Schizosaccharomyces pombe: one gene and its partners. The gene in region 1 interacts genetically with each later gene. Each region holds a gene or a part of one and is shown on either strand. Other genes may lie near its edges.

Region 1 (8,693 bases):
CAACCGTAAGACCGATATGATACTTGGCTGCGAAGATGGTAGCAGCTGCGGAAAAAACTGAGGAACCCCAAGATGCAGTTAGTGTAGTAAACGCCAGTAGAGCGACATGCAATATTTTAACATGTGTAGGCCAATTGACAGCCAACCTAGGATCTGAGGGTTCAAGAGACACATAGAACCTTTCCGGATTTGTGATGTATGGAAAGCCACCAGGGCCTTCCTCTATTAATAACTGTTGCTTTTCCAAGTCAGCTGATTGGTATTGCTCGGCAGGAAAACCTTCGTCTGCCACGGCGGGATCGGTGTGCTCAGAAGTTGAATCAGTAGAAGATGCATGCTGGGCGTTTGCCTTTTCCTCAGAATTTGATGAGTCAGAAGAGGTAGAAGAATTATTGTTATACATTTTGATAAGTTTAAAAGACGAAGATGAGACCGTTCGTCAAAACGGATGGAAGAATCAATCAGCAATCTAGCAAAGGGGAAAACGAGTAGGAAAAAAGGAAAAAATAAAAGAAAGAAAGAAAACGGGTAAAGAAAGATTCTTCAAGATAAGAAATAAATATTAAACAGTTGTTTTTTGGGTGTTTAAATGAAGAATATCCCTTCCTCAATATTTGTTTAAAGGAAAAGAGGTCAATTTCGCTACCGGAAATTTAACGAAACTTAAAAGACGCTACAACTCAACTTTAATCTATTGCGAGGTTTTTGGTGTTCTAAGTAGGCGAGCGACTTTAAACATATGCTTTCCAGCAAGTACTAGTCGACACTACACGTTTTCCAGATTAGATAAGTTTAACAATGGGATAGCCCACAATACCCAGGAATGTTAAGTAAAACGTCTGTTGAGAGTGTAGAAATCCATCTTGTTTTAAACACTTTCAAGGAACTTAACTCGGACCGAAAAAAGATCCGTCTCCATCTATATCTGGTGGCAGTCTTTCCACTTATACCTGTGAATTAAGATGTTGTTGGTTGTTCATTAAATCTGCATTGGGAGTCTATTTCGGAATGCGAAAAGATTCTTTTTATGCAGTTTCGGATCTAAAATGGAAAATATAGATAAAACAAGGATGCGCTAAAGATCGTTACACTATTACCTTATTATGATGCAACACTCGAATGCGCTTTTGGATCGCATTCCGCCATGCAACATAGTGGGTTATCTCTTTAATGGATGCCGGAAAGTAAACAAAAAAAAAAGAATCGAAGGAAGAGAGAGGTATGAATAATAGAAGTGCTTTCTCAAACAGTTGTTTTGCAAAAGAAAGAAAGAAAATCTCTGTTTTTTTTTTTGTGGGGAGTGGAAAGTAAAAGGTTATCCTGTTTATCATTTTGCTAATTTTTGTTTTGCGTTTCATTTTGTTTATCGTTTTGATTATTTATTCATTATATTTTTATTTTTATTTTTTCTTTCCGTCTATTTTGATATTAATGGCTAATAACCCTTGTTTATCCTTATTTTCTTTACTTTTCCCGTTAATATAGATTCTTTTTTCTCTCTAGACAAAATAACACACCCGTCTTATAAGGGCTACATATTCAAGTTTGTGTTTTCAGCATGCGAGCTGGGATGCGAATCGGTTTTAATTGTAACATGACTACCTGTATTTATATATTGTAACTGGAGGTAAAATAAACATTAATACTTACGTATGCCATGGCTTGCTTTTGCCAGCCCAGTTCGGTTTTTGTATCCAAAAAGCTCGGTTTTGCCGGGGAAAGGGATGGTACGGAAAGTGTTGCTGATGATGTTAAGCGGGTGAATATTGCTAAAAAGAAGTAATAAATAATAGTGTGTTGAAGTAACTGAAATAAAAAAGGATTGGAGCAGTTAAACTAGCTAAACATTTTCATCTCTTTCTCTAATTCATTTATTCCTTCTTGTGTAAATTTATTATTTATTTTTTGCAACTCTTATATTGCACTAGATTTCATTCGAGTTCGTAAAGTTAGAATTACAAATACACAAAAACGCAAAGGTGTAAGCTACGCAGTTTGGTATCTGATTTAAGGATACGTAGAACTGCGGTGAGTTTTCCTTGTGGTCTATTTATATTACAATACACAGGTTGTATAAGTAGCAACTGAGTATAGGTATTGTATTAACTGGGTTATAATGTTACCTATCACTAATATAGCTCATAACTGAACCTCGTTCCTCAGTTCAGTGGTAGCTCTATTTATAGTATTCAGATAATATAGATCTTAATAGATTATCATCAAGATTAATCTCCATATCGTATCATACATGGTACGATATATAATTAGAACATATGACATATAGTGATACGCAACGTAGTGTATCATAGCGTAGTGTAGTATTGCTGACAAAAGGCAATAAATTACGAGATATAGCGGATAATTTTTTTTCATCTGTGAATTTCGCTATTATAAGTTTTCATTATGAAATCAAAAGATCATGACAACAACACTTGTCATATAACAAACAATTTTTAAAAAATAATAGTTTTATAATATACAAATAAACGCTTTCAATAGTTATTCCGTAAAAAATTTATTGGAAACCTCCAATGTTCTCTTACTTTGCTTTCTTTATACGCAACGACAATCAAGGAGTTACTGAAATGTGATTTTCTTGTTAATAGACTAGAAATCAATCAAACAGCAAGCGTTCAAACGAGTAGCCATTGTGTCGATATAGTCGAACATAGCCGTACAATTTTTAATATTAGTAGGAATAAAATGCTTGAGGAAAAAAATTTGACAACGCAATAGAAAAAAAAAAAAAAATAAAAAAATAAAAAAAAGTAAAAAAATAAAAAAAAGTAAAAAAAAAAAAAATAATAAAAAAAATTAAAAGAGTAAAAATTAATAAACGTAAAAATAAAATAAATAAAAATTAACCAATTAATAAATATTATAAACGTAAAAACCTTTCTCAAATAATAACCCTTATAATACGCTATTCATTCTATGTCCTTTTCACCTCCATCCCCATCTTTGCATTCCTCGTTACAATTACTTAAACACATTTAACAATATCACATCCGTACATCCCATTAAAGACATTGATAAAGAATTTTAACAATGGACGCCTTATCGTACGACTTTCTGTAGTTTTAAATTCTTCATTAAAGTAAAGAATTGCGAATTCCACTATTTGCCGGTGTTTGAATTCCGCGTGACGATCGCGTCATCTTCTTCATAAATATCACCTATCCTACTACAGTGCTCTTTGCCTTCGCCCAAGTGTTTAGAGGAAATTACTGTGATATACAGTAATTCGCAGTTAGTACTACAACATGGCTACTAGCGGTATTCAAACGAAGGTTCCAGGAATCGTTAGCGGATTCATTGGGGCAATTGGTCGTACTCCTTTAATTAGACTGAATACGCTGTCGAACGAGACGGGATGCAATATCCTTGCCAAAGCTGGTATGTTTTTGATATAGGGCGTTGTTTAATGGGTCTCGTTTTGCTAAACAATTTTGAAACGTCGAGGTTTCTCAATTGAATGGCAATCCTATACCTTTATTTCTTTTTAATTGCTTTCATGTATACTAATTGCAAATTTTTTAAGAATTCCAAAATCCCGGAGGAAGCGTCAAGGATAGAGCTGCTTACTACGTGGTACGCGATGCCGAGAAAAAAGGAAAACTCTCTAGAGGTGGCACAATTGTCGAGGGGACTGCCGGTAACACTGGTATTGGTCTTGCTCACATTGCTAGAGCAAGAGGTTATAAATGCGTGATTTACATGCCAAATACCCAATCTCAAGCTAAAATCGATACCCTTAAGTTTTTGGGTGCCGAGGTTCATCCCGTACCTGTTGCTCCCTTTTCCAACCCTCTCAATTATAACCATCAGGCCCGTCGTCACGCTGAGTCTACTCCGAATGCTTCTTGGACTGATCAGTTCGATAACGTCGCTAACTTACTGTCTCACTACGAAACCACTGGTCCTGAAATTTGGGATCAAACCAAAGGTACCGTTGACGGCTTTACCTGCTCTACTGGTACTGGTGGTACTTTTGCCGGCGTTACCAAGTATTTGAAGGAGAAGTCCGACGGTCGTGTTGCTTCTTTCGTGGCTGATCCCCCTGGAAGTGTTTTGTATAGCCATATCAAAACGAAGGGTAAGCATCCTGACAACAAGGGTTCTTCATTTACCGAAGGCATTGGTCAAGGTCGTATTACTGGAAATGTCCAACCTGTTTACGATCTCATTGACGATGCTATGAAAATCCCTGACGAAAAATCTATTAACATGTTCTTTCGTTTGTTAGACCAAGAAGGTCTTTTCTTGGGCGGCTCTTCTTGCTTAAATGTGGTCGCTGCTGTTGAAATGGCTAAAATATTAGGTCCTGGCAAGACGGTGGTTACAATTCTTTGTGATTCTGGTCACAAGTATGCCACTCGTTTATTCAGTCGCTCATTCCTTGAAAGTAAAAAATTATTTGATGTAATTGAGCCACAATACAAGAAGTATATTGTACTTCCTTAATTGTTTTGACCTTTTACTTCGGATAGACATATAATTACTACTACCTTGTGATTTCCGTTTCTTCTTTCTTTGTGCGTTAATTTTTTGGCTATTCCTTTTTTTTTAAAACCACAAGTCACATCTAGAGTATAGAATATAAAGTGTTTGTTATTATATGTAATGAGCATTTTCAATTTAATGCTGAAGTCTAATTATGCTGGAGAATTCTTATAAATAAGGGTATTTAAACATAATAGCTTTTATAGTATTCATGATTCAAATAACACAAAAAAACCGAGTATAATGGATTCAAACACCATGAACATACAAAATTTTATATAGGTCTATACGCGCTCATCCATAATCTCTTCTTTCGCAATGTTCTGCTTTTCGGCATTTTCAAACGTAAAGTCACCGGGAGTTTCTAATGTAAGAGTATTTGTTAGCACATTTTTCGATAACCGCTTATACTTACTATGCATTTGAACGCTAGGTGCAAAAGATAAGTTTCTCAAATTTTCGATGATTTCAGAGCTAAATTTGGTCAGCCTCGTAAGAATAAAACTCAAAAGGTAGCATACGTTATCGAATCAAGATACTGCCGAGTGTTATGGTTTTCCATATTGTTTGAAAGAACATTGAGCTTGTAATCGGGACCGTAATATTGTAAATAGTCATTATAAGGAAGGTCTTGGATGGGTTAATAAACAATTTACGTATTGGTACTTACTTTCATCAAGCTCTTCGCCGGCTAAAAGACCAGTTTCATAAGTCCAGACACGGGCAACATTCCGTACAGTATATCCACCTCCTCCAACGCATATCATTGGCAAATTAAAGCTCTTAACAAAATCAACGCACATTGAATGTCCTGTTGAGGGGAATTAGTAAAAACGAGAAACAGTAGTTACTTACCCTTCATTGACAGATTGAAGCAGCCTAGTCGATCACCAGCGAGAGAATCTGTTCCACATTGTAAAATAACAGCTTCCGGTCGAAACCATTGCATTATGTGACTTATAACCTAATTCAGATTGTTAGAACAAAGAAATTTATAAAAAAGACTTACAGGCTTAAATACGCTTTCATAAGATTCATCGTCAATACCATCTCTCAAAGGAACGTTAACAGCATAGTTTTTTCCTGTTCCAATTCCGGTGTCCTAAAATATTAGAAAAGTAAATCCAAATATAAAGCCGCATGCATACCTTGATATGACCGGTTCCTGGAAAATATTCACCGAATTTGTGGAATGAACAAGTCATAACGCGATCCGTAGTGTAGAAAAATTCTTCTACACCGTCTCCGTGGTGAACATCAATATCAATGTAAAGAACACGTTGATGATATTTCAGCAATTCTAAAGCAGCCAACGCGATATCATTAACATAGCAGAAACCAGAAGCTTCACGTTTTTTAGCGTGATGTAGGCCTCCAGCCCAACTTAATTAAGTGGTTAGTTGATCTTCAAAGTACTAAAAAATCCTCAATAACATACTTAATAGCAATTTCTGCGTTTCCCGAGTTAAGTTCTTGAGCAGCACCTAAACCAATGTTAGTTAAAGTCCTATACTCCATTCACAAATTCAGCGGATGCTTCAAAGCCCCTTTTTTGGGAAAAACTTTTATCTTACCAATTGAACCGCCAGCAGAAATTGAACAAAATTCGTACAGCCCACTAAACAATTGTTAGTATAAAAAATTTGATAAACGCACATACTCAAAAACAGGACAATCATCACCGACGTTAACTAAAATCACGGTTATTTATAAATAATCGAAATGAAATCTTACATTTCAGCTGATGCGGTTGAAATTTTTCCATCGTGTCAGGTGTAACTCTCCAAAGAAATTCAATATACTCATCGGTATGACAACGAGTCATGTCATTCCTTGTTGCTCTAACAGGTGTCTTGTATACTTTATTAGTATAAAAAGGAGAAATAGAACTTACAATAACGTTCAACTTCTCATACAAGTTGTAATTAACGACCAGATTATGAACCTAAGTAGGTTAATGATGATAAATAGTTATAGCTTTATATCATACCATGCGAACGCGATGAGGCTTCATTGGATGCTGAGGACCATAGTGATAATTTCCAACATCCTCTATTTCAAAAATTAGCTAGGATCTTACTAGTTTACACGTACCATCATAGAAATAAGAAACCTTTTTCTTCCCGAACCCCATAGTTTCAAATAGGATTTTCTTTCCCAATTATTTAATAAGGCAAACAGTTTCCTTATGTTATCAATTAAAAATGTTAGGTTCGGAGCGCTTTCGCGTAGAATTGTTGCTATGATGGAGTGGTCAGAAGCTGAAGCAGCAGCCTGGTTCTATTGAATATTTCTCCCATCCACGAACTAGTGTTTCAAGATCTTAAATAAGTAACGATTAATTGTTCAATTTAAGTAAAATACTGTTATAACAAAAAGGACTAACCTTGGAATGTCTATTAAAATGTGCTGTATGTTTTTTTCAGTGACAGTTTTTGCATTTTCTCAAATGAGCAATATAATAATTCTTTCATAACCAATCCAATTAACAACGATCGTCAATGTCATTTGATGTTATTATTATACTACTCACCAAATGTTTACATCTACATAATCTAAATCTTGCTTAGTTTCCCAAGTAGAGTAATGTATCAACCAGATAATCATTAAAAAAGTAAATTCTGAATGCAGATCTTTAACAATAATGAAAAAAACCATAAATGCTATAATGATATGAAACCTTAAGAATAACCCTAAATACAAATCGTCGATCAGTATCATAAAGAATTTGGAAGGTCATCAAATAATAAATTTTAAATAAGGAAGAAGATAATAACGGTTATTTAAAATGAAATGACTGCTACCGTGACCTTTTGTAAATGAGCTGAAAAAACTTAGTAAATATACACTTTTTCAATCCAGTAGATTCATCAATCAAATCAATTTCTTTGGATATAGAATCCACCATGTCATCTTCAAATTTGTGATATAATTCAGGTATTTGAAGCTCATGATAAAGCTGCTTTATTACAGCTATGTTTTCAGACCCTGCTTTTCCATAATGAGCACGAAGAAGATTCAGCTGATCCGCAGAGGCAAATTTTTCAGCATAACAAACTAGCCATGTGCATTTATTGTCTTGTATGTCCATTCCCACTTTACCCAAAACCGTGTAATCACCGAAACAATCTAAGTAGTCATCTTGGACTTGGAAATAATAACCAAGAAGTTTTGAAAGCTTTATAGTCGTATCATACGCCTTTTGATTCGAATTGCGAGACAACAATAAAGCACATTTAATAGGAAGGTAAAAGGAATAAAATGATGTTTTATAAGTGATAATAAAGTCATATTTCATTAAATCAAAAGATCGTAACGAGGCTTCTCCGTCTCGTGATGAAAGCAAATCTTCTTGTTGCCCCAACTCGGTGAGAAAAGTAACCTTGAAAGTAAGCTTTTTAGTTGAATTTATTGTAACATACCTCTCGGAAAGTATCCAATAAATCGACATAGTATGGCATATTTCTGAAATACTTTCGAATTAAAAGTGGAATACATGCTTCTAGTAATTGTGACTCATTAATTGCCCTTCGTACACCAACTACCAAATACCAACAATCTAAACCACGTCGTTTGATAGACTGATCCATAATATCATCTGCCATTAAAAAGCAACCTTGCAACTGAACATCCGTCAGTACCCCAGTGATTTTACGTAAACAAATCTGAATTAAAAAACCAGTTTACTTACAATTTCAATTAGCCAACCTAGGAGAGCAGCGTCGCGAAATTCTGCTTCTTCAAGTTCTCGATTAATAAGGCTTGTTAAAGATTGCAAAACTGCCAGTCCTCGATTATTCTTTCCTCCTAACGTATTTCTCTTTATGGACTAAATGAAGGTTAGCTGTCGCGTTATAAAGGCAAGATAATCAACTTACATATAACAGCTTCTCGGTTTCTTCGGGGAAGTATTGCATGCTTTCTAAGATTTCACGAATTCCTTCGAGAACGACTGGGAAGAAATCTAGAAGTCTTTTCTTAATGCCATTTTTTTCATTAAAATCGTTGACCATTTTAGTATTTTTAATTGTACATGTATAAGAACCAGCTTGGTATAAGACTGAGAACTAGCACAGGTCTTCTATGAGAAAATATTATTTAAAATGACAAATAACCACAATTCTTGAATATAAAATTTGCAAATTACGCGTGAAAGCGCGTTACAAATTTATCTCGTTTTTAAGAATCAA
Region 2 (4,824 bases), on another chromosome or scaffold:
AATTTAACTCATTAGCCGAGGTATCTTTAGCGGTACGTGCAGCATGTTCAGCAAGCCGATTATCTGTATCAACTGGACAAACCTCTGCAACTAAAGATTCCAAATTCCAAGGCTGATCATCATCTAAACGGAAAATCCTTGTAGCTGTGATATTTGATGAAGTATTAGCACACAAAATATAAATCCATTTATTCCAAAATATTAAACGAGTAGAAACATTCTGAGACTCATTTACAATGTAGTTGAATTCACTGTCTTCAGTTAAGCTTTCAGTGACTTCTTGCAAAACATCTCCGTTTCGTAATTTACAGTTTTTAAATATCGCCCCAGTGTTTAGCATGGATTTATGGCATTTTTGTTGGAAGCGTAAACGATCGTCGGAAGTCGGGTTATTCATGATCAGTGAAAAATAATATAAATAAATATATACGAAAAACCAATTGTATTACTTGGGTTCAGTGAACAAAGGAAAAGTACATCACTTTGTACGTACTGTGTGTGTGTCTTCGTGAGGTCGCTTCTGTTGTGTCATTTATATTACCAAGTGGCAATCAATGCATGGCGACTACTAGAGGTGATGAGATTGAAGTCAAATGATTTCACTATTAAACTTGGTATATAGTAAGTAGAAAAGTAATCTGGCTAAATAACTTTTTCCAAAAAAAAGCACACACTGTGTGTTTTGCAACTGAAGAAAACTTGCTGTTCAAAGTGAGCAGGAAACTAGAAACTGATTGAAGATAAAGATACCTTTAATGTTATAATAGAATTGTTTTGCAACTGCACATTCAGTTCGTTATCTCGTTTCCCTAAAAAATAATATTGTAAAGTCGTTCGCTATATAAATCCTAAAGATAATCATAAAATTGAAGATTTGTTTTCCTTAAGCTCTGCTATCATCTTCGTCAAAGTGCCTGAGCTACGAAGTTTGTTCAAATCGGAATTGCCTTTATATAATGTATTAGTAATAAACAACAGAGAAAAACCAACGAGAATATTAATGGTCAAGGAAAACAAATTTGGGTTCATACCTCCAATGAATTGGTTGCGAAAGAATATGCTGGGTACTGTAGACTGTTTGGTCTTTTCATGTAAATAAGCTGCTCAGGTAAGCATATGATAAAATCAGTTTGTTAACTAAACACACCTTGGATGTCAGATCCATTTTCTAGTGTAACATCAAGTTAGTTAAAAAGGATGAAAAGCAGAACAAAAAACTTGAAATGTTTCGCTATTTCTCAAGATCATGGAAGGAAACAAAAATTTTCGTAGTTTCATTACACAATTATGAGGTTTCGAAAACCCAATTAGACTATTATTTCATATACTTAATTTATGTAGACATAACTCAAGAAACTTTACAATCGATCAACTGAATCTTCAGCTCTTAAACAAATGAAGAATACCATACTTACCTATTTTATCTAACTCATAAGCCTTATACGGAGCAGAGTACTTTGTAAGAGTATTTTTGGCTGCTTTGCAGAAAGGACAGAACGATTTACTAAAGACAGTAACCGGATTGTTTGAGATCGCCTTTTCAACAAAAGCTTTTGCTATAGAAGTCATTTCAGCTTAAATAGGTATTCGTCTAAAAATGCAGTGGATATTGGTGACAAGTAATACAGTATGACTATCGAGGTGTTGGGCTACCTAACACCAAACGACACGATTAGGCAGTTAGATGTGATAAACAAAAACTCGAAATTACAAGAGTTATTTCGAAATATATTTAGTACACCAGTAAGCGAGTACAATCAAATGTTAAATACGCTATCACGAAGTTATAACTGCAGTATCGTACACTACACCCTAATTCACTAATTAGAAATAACGGTATATATTTTATTAGTTGTTCAATGCAAGAGATTGAACGGTTTTTGCTAGTTCGTCGTTGGTTTCTGGTGTATCGAATTTCAAAGTAGAAAAATCTTTGCTAAAAATTGTTAGTAACCTAGATAGTTGTGATGACGTTGAACAGTCATATATTGTCTGAAACAACGTAGGTAATTATACAGAAGTTGACCAAACTAAAGAAAGAACGATTGTCACAAAGATTGTATATAGTTTTTGGAAAGAATACTCATTAAACGATCCATGCAACCATCCCCAACCTAGTTTTTACAACAAAGTACTTACTGCATAGCATAAGCATCTTCACCATCAGCATAATATTTGCTTTCAATCCCTTGAACGCTAAAATAATGTTAGAATCTCTTCAATGATGGCGAGTAAAAACATACTCAAATTGCAAAGTATCACGATAAAGATGAATAGCAGCTCTGTTGCTTTTACGAACATGAAGACTCATATATTTGGCGCCATAAACTTCGACCATGGCTCTTTCTGTTCATTTAAGTAGTTAGTATCTTTTACTTTTTTTAAAAAAATTTTGTTTAAGGAATGGACCGAAAATATCAAGGAATCAGCAGGAAGGAAACATTGTCGAAAACAAATTAGGTAAAAAAAATGAATTGTTGCAAGGAAAAAACCAACTCACCAAATGAACAATTCAAAGTATTAGCAGACCAAGTCTTGCACAAAATAAAATATATACATATTGGAATAATCATCGATAACAACTGCAAAAAAGCTTAAGATTTCCCTCTAGCTCCTCCTTGGATATATCCGTAATCTACTTCGCTCTCAATTAACACTTACGACTTTGAACCATGAGACGTTTAGCAAGTCCTAGATGACGATAGGAGCGCATTACTGAGACACTTGTGATATGACCATGAGGGATCCCATCCTTAGGCTCTTCTTCCATTTTTGCAAGAACATATCCTACGACACGTCCTTTCGGATCAGTAGCAACATAAGAAAGCATAGGCCAAGAAATAGCATGATAAAGGTCTACATTAAATTAGAAAATAAGAATCATTGTTTTAATACTGGAAGTTCATTGCCGTGCAGCAAGAATTACAATGAATTGAACTTACAATATTTTAACTGATAATTTTCAGGCAAGTTATGTAAGTTGCAGTTCTGCATCCCAGTAAGGTCACTTATACGAGCTGGCCGAATATCCATCTTGCCAATCGTTTAATTTTTAGCAATATCTATGATTTTTGTTTGTTAGTGGTTGGAATCAAATTTCCAGCATACCATATTTTAAGAAAGCGCAGTGAATGTAAAACGAAATTCAGGGAATGCAAAGCAACTACTGCAAAGCTTTTAGAAATGATAAGATTCATTTGATGTTAATATTATCTGTCAAGTATTTTAACGTCAAATATTTACTGCTTTGCTAAAAAAACTATGTTTTTTGGAGACTCACAATGTTCGACGTTAAGCTCCTTTTAAGTTACAAGCCGTTTAGTACACATTGCATAACCAAATTTCTAATTACTTAATGTTGCGTTTCCTAAGTTGTTTTGATTTTCAATGCAGATGATGAGAAATCCTTATTATAAATAGACAATGATGTTTACGATGGATTGCACACTTAAAGACATTAAATCAAAACTTTATATTAATTAGCCATTAATTATATAATCTAAGTTAATACTTATAATCACCATAACATATTTTGTTTACTGTGGAATCAAAAAGGATTAGCGATGCTTGATTGAATCCTTTATTATCTTAAAGTCACACTACCTTGGTTTTCCTTTAAAAGTTTTAACAGCAGCCTTGTGGTTTCACTTAGGCTAAGTAAACTCAACGAAAAAACATTAAGATTTGTTATTCGTAAATTCAGCTAGTAGACCTCGAACATTAGGTTTTCCCATTGGTAAAAATGTAAACAAAACCGCATTAATCATATAAAACATTAAGCGAAAAAAAACAATAGATTGCATTTATGGCTATAAATAATGAAAACGAATTAGAGTATAAATTAATAAAAAAAAACAAGAATCCTAAAATATCAAATTCAAAAAAAAAGAATTCGACACGTCCAGCTTTACAAGACAAAACTAATCAAACATTACCAATTCATCAAAATCAAGCCTTTTCAAACATTCTTCCATCTGATTTTTCAATAATTAAGACACCTGAGACAAAAACTGCTGACGATTTCCCCGTAAATGGTTACGAAGGCTTAAACATTTTAAAATTTGATCTCGAGTTATTTTACAAACTTAAACCTGTAGCAACGTCGACCCCGAAGTCTTGCATGAGGACGGGCTCCAATTTATTTTTAAATGAAACTGTTAAACATGTTCCAGATGAACGGTTAGTTTCAAACATCAAGAATACCCAAACAAAGGACTCTATCACAAGAGATTCTGCGTATTATCACAGAAAAACTATGACAGAAAGCATAATCAAAACACTCGCTGCATTTGATGCTGAGGTTGATGAGATTATATTGTTTTAAATCTCTAACTGACACTGGAATATAATCGTACTTTTCAAGTACTAACGCATCTATTTTTCATATGATATATTTATTAAAAAAGATTTACAAACCTGCTTTACAAATCAACCTTGACTACGATTTTATTTATACATATCGATCAGGACAAACGATAGCATGTTCAACAATATTTGACGCGAAAGGCCGACAAAGAAAAGTGGATAAAGTCAGCGCATAAATTTAACCTTCAAACATTTCTTTCATTTTAAAAAAGCAAGTAAGGAAAGCACATACTTTTCGGTAGTCTACATACTCGGTAAATTAAGATACGGATTATGCTATAATAAACAGAAAAACATCTAATTATCATTTAACACTTCTTTACGATGAAAAGACCGCATATTCCGTGGTTCAATCGTATATTTCATGAGATTATTCTGGTTTTCTGTACTGCATTTTTTCAACCCGGACCTCTCCATCAAAAATCCTATAAACATAAAGTATTAAAACTGCTCCTTGAA
Region 3 (7,069 bases), 1.1 Mb from region 1:
TAAGAATAGACGATTTTCCGACCACCAGGATTCAAGAGCTTCTCTGCTCGTATAATCTTCATTACCTGGTTGGAATAGGGAAGAAGGATTGGGTAGAGTAAACATTTTTGGCCAACCCTTGGTACCCGATGAGGCTTTAACTATAGCTAGCGGAGTTTCCCCATCTGCCTCTTCTTCCATAGTTTCGTAATTACGGTCATCAATCTCACTTTCCATTTCACTTTCCTCACCAACTCCATTTTCATTGCCAAAAAGAGAAAACTTAGACGTATCCTGCGCATTGGAAGAAAACATTTCTTTTAAATTGTCAACGTTAACAACAGCAGTACGCTCATCAAATGCTTCAAATTCAGCAGGAACATCTATGTGTACGGACTCTTCCTTTTGTAAATTATCTTGTTCATCCAAACCTTCTTTTTGGAAATTATTAGTCGAATCATTGTCCAGTTCCAAAACACCTGAAGTTTTAGATACGGTATCAATTTCTTCTGTATTTTCAGAACCAAACAGTTCAGCTAACACAGATGCAGCCGTATCCTTATCTTTTTTTCGCAAAGCATCCAATTGCTCTTCGTTTAATTCTTTTGTGACTTCAATCTCCCCAGTTGTGTTATTAAGAAGTTCAAAATCGTTATCATCCTTCTGAGTAGAAGCTTTGATACCCAATTTTGCTTGCATACGTATTTTGTCACGAGAAGCTCTCTTACCCCCATATGATACATACTCATCATGATCAGAATCATAAAAAGCTGTAGTATTGTCCATATTCGTTTCCACTCGGCCCCATAGTTTTTGTAAGCAGTTTTTACCCAGCGGATAAAAAAACCTCGTTTTCTTAGTATTTTTATTATACATTCGAAGCACGACAATGGCCCTTCCATAGGGGCCTTTTTTCCAACCTTTTCTAGGAGGATCCTTCCGAACATCAGAATCCGTGACCACCTGCATATTTTTACTATGTTTTCCGGGAACAATTATTTCTCCATGAAAGACTGGGTCTTCCAGATCAACTTTGCTGGAGTGATCTTCATTTTTCTCATCATTATTAGTACTTTGAAGATCAGCAATTTTTTTTTCCTGCTGCAATTTTACTAAATAATAAGGGCGAGCTTCCTCTATACGAAGTTTACTTCCTTTAAACGTCGCATTTGATAAGTAAGACTTGCATTTCTGCCATTTATCTTCATCTGTTCGAAAATTCAAGTATGCAAATCGTTGTATAGTTCCTACTGGAGTAGATTTGTTTATAATTTCAAGATTTGAAACACTTCCAAAACGAGAAAATCTGGATTCCAAATCTGAAGATTCAATAGAGGATGAAAGGCCACCAACATAAATCCGTTTTTCTAACTCCATTATTGAAGTCAATTGATACAAAATGAGGACAAAAAGTTTCGCAGGTCAAAAAGAGTGTCTGAAATATAATGGGAAATAAACCCGAAAAAATAGTCTACCAATCGCTACCAGATAGCTATTTAGATGAGGAATCGAGAGCTGTGTGAGCAATGAAATTTTTTACAAGGAAAGCATATATACTGGTTTAAATCTCTATGACTTTCGGAAATAAACACTCCTGTAACTTCTTTTTCTCCTTCTTATAAATCAAAAATTAACCTGCTGTAGAAGGCAGGTTCTCGTTGAATAATTATATAAAATTGCAATGGAATTTGTGGTGTAGTAAGTAACCACGGCCTTGCCGAAGCCAAGTTGGAGAAGCCGCGGCTACCTTACACTAACAAACGAACAGTTTTCACATCATTCTCTTTCCAAATAAACCGGTAAAACATCCTTCTTTACTGGATTGGATAGTTTAATATGGATGTTGATGATTTAATTTACGCTTGTAGAGCTGCGGATGAGGAGTTACTAGATGAGATTATAGAGAAATGTCCACAAGAATTAAGTCGTCGTGATGAAAATGGTAACTCTGGACTTCATATGGCTAGTGCTAATGGACACATCGCTGTTGTTCAAAAAATAATCCCGTACTTGAATAAAGAAGTAATAAATGCTCAGAATGAGAGTGGAAACACCGCAATGCATTGGGCAGCACTGAATGGACATGCTGAAATTTGCAAATTACTACTGGAAGCGGGAGGTGATCCTCATATTAAGAATATTTATGAGAAGTCACCTATATATGAAGCTGATATTCGAAATCAGCAAAAAGTAATGGACCTTTTTCTGGATTTTGAGATTGCTAAAGGTAGTGAAGAAAACACTGGTGATGAAGAAAAATTGGAAGATGGAATATGATCGTTTTATTTGATAATTTCTGATTTTTATTTTGTAAAAAAATTTACCTCTTTCTTTTGTAGGTTGTGGGAAGCTAATATTTTTATGCACCTGATGCATTTTTTTTTTCTTTTGGAGCATAATTTGGGGTTATTCTTATATTTTGTTAAGTTTTTTACTGTGTAATTTCTAGATGTTTTCTCAATATAATTCGTTTTCAGCGATGTACGTTGCCATGTATCTGTGTAGAAAGTTCAAGTGATGTTTATTAAAAGATGGATTATCTCAATAGACAAAATGTTTATCTTCCATCATTTACAGATAGAAATTGAATTGGAAAAGTGCTTTCATTTTTGTTTAAACCTTGTAATTAAACCTATGTAGCGTTATACGTTGGAATAGAAAGAGAAAAGCCTACCGGTTGCGTTCAAAAATGGAACAAAACTTTATTTCTAGATTTTATCAGGTTCGTTATTCATGGCAATCTAATCAAATATACAATTCATGGTTATAATCCCAAGGTTTTACGAGCCAATCGTCGAACTACACGACAATATTCTTCTCGATCTTCTCTCCACATCTTGCACGCATCGATGTTAGCACCACTTTCATCGTTTGGTTCCGCCAACATCGACATTACCGATAACAGTATTTTTTCAACAGATTGAACAGGAGACCAACGTTCTGAAGACGACTCATACATATTTGGATCGTCACCAGGTGCATGTAGGATGGAAATGCAAACCGTCCCATCTTTGTAAACTGAAATGAAGGTTAGTCTCGAAATTTGGATTAATAGTATCTGGCATACCATTTGGATGGAAAAATTCACACTCAAACTTTAAAGTAGGGGGGCCAAGAGGATAATCCTACATAAAAAAGTTAGAATCCAATAAAAATAAAACTAAGCACGTATCAACGTGCGCTTGAACACCCCGGATGTACTGCCATGCGATTCAAAGAAAGAAACCAAACCCCCAAAAAAAAACTTAGATAGATCTTTTAAATAAAATTTCTTCCTACTCATCAATAAATCGAAGGATTCATCAATTACTAATGAATAAAAGCACTTCTCTTAAATGATCATTCTAAACGAATGGATTATTGAGTTACTTTCTTTATTTACGCTGAACAAATGTTAATTTATGAAAAAGAGCGCGTATTTTTTAATAAGTAGTTGATACATAAAACATGCGAAACATCATACTTATCCACAACTTAAATCACATGTTCAGTCTCCATCAGGTTTATAGTAAAGGACTTACGGAAGGAAATTTCAAGGTAGCAGGGTATAACCCACCTTCAAATGGAGTTCCATCAGGGCCTTGAATTAGGCAATCCCAAGTAAAGAAATCATCCTCATTCGATGGACCTGCAGTAATACCATCAGGCCCATTCTCCGTTAACTCCTTATACTCCTTCATTAACCGTCGCAACGCCATAGCTTTACTCATTTTGGAAATCAATTAACTTACTAATCGGTAAGATATATTAAAGATCACTGACTAAAAGGTAGCCTAAAAATGGTAATGAACAGATTAATGAATGAATGGTTTGTTTACGACAAATTATGCAGCTGAGGCTAAACGAACTTTTGTGGTATCACTCGCTATTTTTATCTCGTTCATCATTTTAGCAACTTCTACCGCACAAAATAATAAGGCCGTTAATTAAAATAGCGAAAACATGTAAAATTCATAAAGTGATTTAGAGGAAAGAAATGCAGCTTGCTCTATCCCACAACATTCCAATAGTAATTGTTAAATACTTAGGAAAACGTATCCGAGTGCAATTGGAATTTAAAAAAGAGCTTGCGCAGAGATCCAAGCATCTGATGGATGTATCACAATGCGAACATTGGCATAATCGGCTTTGTGATGTTGGATTAGACTCGAAGCAAAAGGCAAACACAGCAATTGAAATTCGAGATGCACTGGATGATGTGTTGGTAACTGAAAAGACGAATTTTGAAACTTTCATTCCTCTTTTGGAGGACACGTTGTCTTTGCTTGAAAAGGAACGTCCTGTATTTTCATCGTTAGCAGCTACACATCGTTTACGCATTGCATTGCTTGAATTGCTCAAGAAATCTGGATCCTATAAAGGTTTTGAAGCATTCGTTAATCGGACTTTTGCCGTGCTTCTTCGTATAGTCGTTAATGATAATGAAGAGATGGCAGTGTTGGCATTGAAGCTTGTTGTCCTTCTTTTTAAGGACCACAGTAGCCTTGCTAAGGGACATGTTCAGGAATTTTTATCCATTGTCGTTGAAAACTACAAATCCATGACCACAGTTGTTTCAGAAGCTTTCCCACCTAGATCAGCTCCGAATACTCCATCCTCTCATCCCATGTCTGCTGCATCTTCTGCATCTCCTGCTGAAATTGGAATGGAACATGCAGGTCCAAAAATGATCCCAAAAGCTTCTTCGAGTTTCAAGGTCACTGCTGAATTTCCCATTATCGTCTTTCTCCTATTTCAAACATACAAAGATCTTATTCCGAAAATGCTTCCTTTACTTGCTCCGCTTGTACTTCAATTTATCTCACTTCGTCCTCCACCTCAAGCCGAAGCTCGTCGACTTGCAGAATCTCAAAAAGAGGTTTTTATTGGTGTAGTCCCTTCTTTGCGTCGAAATCATCTTTACAATGACCTTATTTCTGCGCAAATTAAATCATTCTCTTTTCTCGCCTATTTATTGAGAAGTTTTGGTGCTGCTCTTAAACAGTTTGAAAGCTCGATCCCAATATGTACCTTGCAATTGTTCATGGACTGTCCTTCCGAATTATATCAGACTCGAAGAGAACTTTTGGTAGCTACAAGGCACGTCTTATCGACGGATTATTTGAGAGGGTTTCTACCGTATGTAGATCAACTACTTGATACCAAAATTCTAGTTGGTTCTGGAATCACTTCTCAGCATTCATTACGACCCATGGCTTTTAGCATGCTGGCAGATATGCTTCATTATGTGCGTATGGAATTAAGTCCACAACAAATTTACAAAGTCATACTTCTTTATTTCAGTATTTTGATGGACGACTTTTATACTTCAGCTATTCAGGCAATGGCTACAAAGCTTATTTTAAACTTGGTTGAAAGAATTGTTGCACTAGAAGATTTTTCCACTAGCCGATCACTTCTATTTGCTATACTTTTATGTCTCTTAAGAAAATTGACTTCTCTGAATTTCGAGTTTATGAAGCTGAGAGATTCTTTACAGGAAAATGCTGACTTAAAGCAAATTAAAATAGAAGAAAATAAACATGATCTTCCTATGTTTGAGAACCCTACTGGAGCTGCCCAACCTTCAGGTTTGGATAAGCTAAAAGATTGCATATTTCTTTTTAAAAACACCTTATTAGGTATTAAGCCTGTTTTGTTTGGACTAAAGCAACGAAATATTCCTCTTGCCAACGGTTCCATTTTTACAGCTCAGGAATGGTCTGAAAAGTTACATCTTAGTTCAACTAATGAAGTTTTACTGTTTCGAAGATTACTTGTGGAAAGTTTAAAGGGATTCAGTTATTACCAGACAGATGAAAAAACCGGTGTATTCAAGTCCTCGAAAAATCTTGCATACTCTCAACTTGATTCTTCGTTGACCACAAACCCTTCTAAACTCTTAGAAGAGAAGGAGCTCTTAGAAATGTTAGCAACTTTATTTTTACACTTGGACCCATCTGTTTTCGTCGAAATTTTGGAATCCGAGTTTCCGAATATATTTGAGTGTCTAGTAGATAATCTTGCTTTATTGCATATTTTCCAATTTTGGATGTCTAATGAAGTTACTTCTGTCAACTGCACGGGCATCGTGCTGTCTTTTTGCTGTGACAATCTAGCTAAAATAGGGTCTGGCCAATCCACTCGGGTTTCTGTTTTATTGCGATTATTCAAGTTGGCCTTTATGACTGTGAATGTTTTTCCCGAAAAAAATGCAGAAGTCCTGCGTCCCCATATATCCTATATCATTTCAACTAGCCTCGAATTGACTACTGATGCTGTTGAACCTTTAAATTACGTTTATTTAATGAAAGCTTTGTTTAGAAATATCAGTGGAGGAAAATTTGATTCTCTTTACAAGGAAATACTACCACTTCTCCAAGTAATGCTAGAATGTTTCAACAGATTGATTTTTACTGTTACGTCTACATCCCAAAAAGAGCTGTATGCGGAACTTTGTTTGACTTTACCCATTAGACTCAGTGTGTTGTTGCCTCATATGAATTTTTTAATGAAGCCATTGATTGTTGCATTAAAAGGCCCCCCTGAAATAGCTAGTCAAGGGCTTCGAATATTTGAACTTTGCTTGGATAATCTTACTCAAGAATTTTTGGATCCTTTATTGGACTCAATTATGCCGGATTTGCTGATATGCCTGTGGAATCATTCACGCCTTAATCAATCCAATAATCAATTGCATCAAAGTGCTGTGAGAATATTAGGAAAAATGGGTGGTCGAAATAGACAAATATATCTTGGTACCTTTGGCTTTGATTTTTTGCAAGATGAAAATATTTTTCCTTCAATCCAGTTTTCTTTCCAAGGCTCCTCTCAGAATTTTAGCTTAGAGCACTCCAAATTTTTAATGTCTTCATGTGCTGTTTTAAACAATCAAAATTCCGATTTAGAAGAAAAGAAGCAAGCATTTCAAATGGTCAAGAATTCGTATTTATTACTCTTTGCGTCTGCGAAGCCCGATGAAGACTTTTGGGAATCTATTGATACAATGTGCCGAGCAGTTGTAGATCGCATGGATAAAAACTTACAGCAAGTCTCTAATGGTAGGTTGTGCCCTGACAAAGATGAATCTTATTATCTGCAAAGATCTATT

The links.
Region 2: of clr6 (region 1) and moa1, changing one suppresses a phenotype caused by changing the other (phenotypic suppression), as found in Schizosaccharomyces pombe (one study listed by BioGRID).
Region 3: of clr6 (region 1) and tra1, changing one suppresses a phenotype caused by changing the other (phenotypic suppression), as found in Schizosaccharomyces pombe (one study listed by BioGRID).

Annotation. Positions count from the first base shown.
Region 1 is NC_003423.3:844,722-853,414, forward strand, and holds clr6 (class 1 histone deacetylase Clr6), read right to left. Parts: upstream 6,756-8,693; 5' UTR 6,638-6,755; coding exon 6,598-6,637; exon of another isoform or gene 6,556-6,597; coding exon 6,494-6,555; exon of another isoform or gene 6,449-6,493; coding exon 6,398-6,448; exon of another isoform or gene 6,356-6,397; coding exon 6,238-6,355; exon of another isoform or gene 6,195-6,237; coding exon 6,164-6,194; exon of another isoform or gene 6,122-6,163; coding exon 6,078-6,121; exon of another isoform or gene 5,988-6,077; coding exon 5,942-5,987; exon of another isoform or gene 5,887-5,941; coding exon 5,652-5,886; exon of another isoform or gene 5,606-5,651; coding exon 5,513-5,605; exon of another isoform or gene 5,468-5,512; coding exon 5,359-5,467; exon of another isoform or gene 5,315-5,358; coding exon 5,174-5,314; exon of another isoform or gene 5,134-5,173; coding exon 5,025-5,133; exon of another isoform or gene 4,983-5,024; intron 4,978-4,982; coding exon 4,919-4,977; intron 4,868-4,918; coding exon 4,788-4,867; 3' UTR 4,624-4,787; downstream 1-4,623. Other genes in the region: mfs3 (spermidine family transporter), read right to left, coding at 1-403; cys11 (cysteine synthase), read left to right, coding at 3,264-3,396, 3,542-4,464; spo9 (ER farnesyl pyrophosphate synthetase Erg20), read right to left, coding at 7,304-7,885, 7,926-8,126, 8,195-8,332, 8,382-8,516. UniProt on the Schizosaccharomyces pombe protein: Responsible for the deacetylation of lysine residues on the N-terminal part of the core histones (H2A, H2B, H3 and H4).
Region 2 is NC_003424.3:3,728,016-3,732,839, reverse strand, and holds moa1 (meikin), read left to right. Parts: upstream 1-3,805; coding exon 3,806-4,324; downstream 4,325-4,824. Other genes in the region: fub1 (PI31 proteasome inhibitor domain-containing protein), read right to left, coding at 1-397; glutaredoxin Grx2, read right to left, coding at 859-947, 1,032-1,100, 1,148-1,168, 1,416-1,569; NatA N-acetyltransferase complex catalytic subunit Naa10, read right to left, coding at 1,849-1,936, 2,140-2,196, 2,244-2,346, 2,662-2,856, 2,943-3,033; retromer complex subunit Vps29, read right to left, coding at 4,736-4,824. UniProt on the Schizosaccharomyces pombe protein: Plays an important role in chromosome segregation during meiosis I by allowing meiotic rec8 to establish cohesion at the centromeric central core and thereby promote the side-by-side structure of kinetochores at meiosis I.
Region 3 is NC_003423.3:1,902,419-1,909,487, reverse strand, and holds the start of tra1 (SAGA complex, phosphatidylinositol pseudokinase subunit Tra1), read left to right. Parts: upstream 1-4,069; coding exon 4,070-7,069. Other genes in the region: ribosome biogenesis protein Nop8, read right to left, coding at 1-1,356; ribosome biogenesis protein Yar1, read left to right, coding at 1,816-2,256; ubiquitin-conjugating enzyme Ubc7, read right to left, coding at 2,744-2,997, 3,047-3,104, 3,501-3,689. UniProt on the Schizosaccharomyces pombe protein: Essential scaffold subunit of the transcription coactivator SAGA complex. SAGA acts as a general cofactor required for essentially all RNA polymerase II transcription.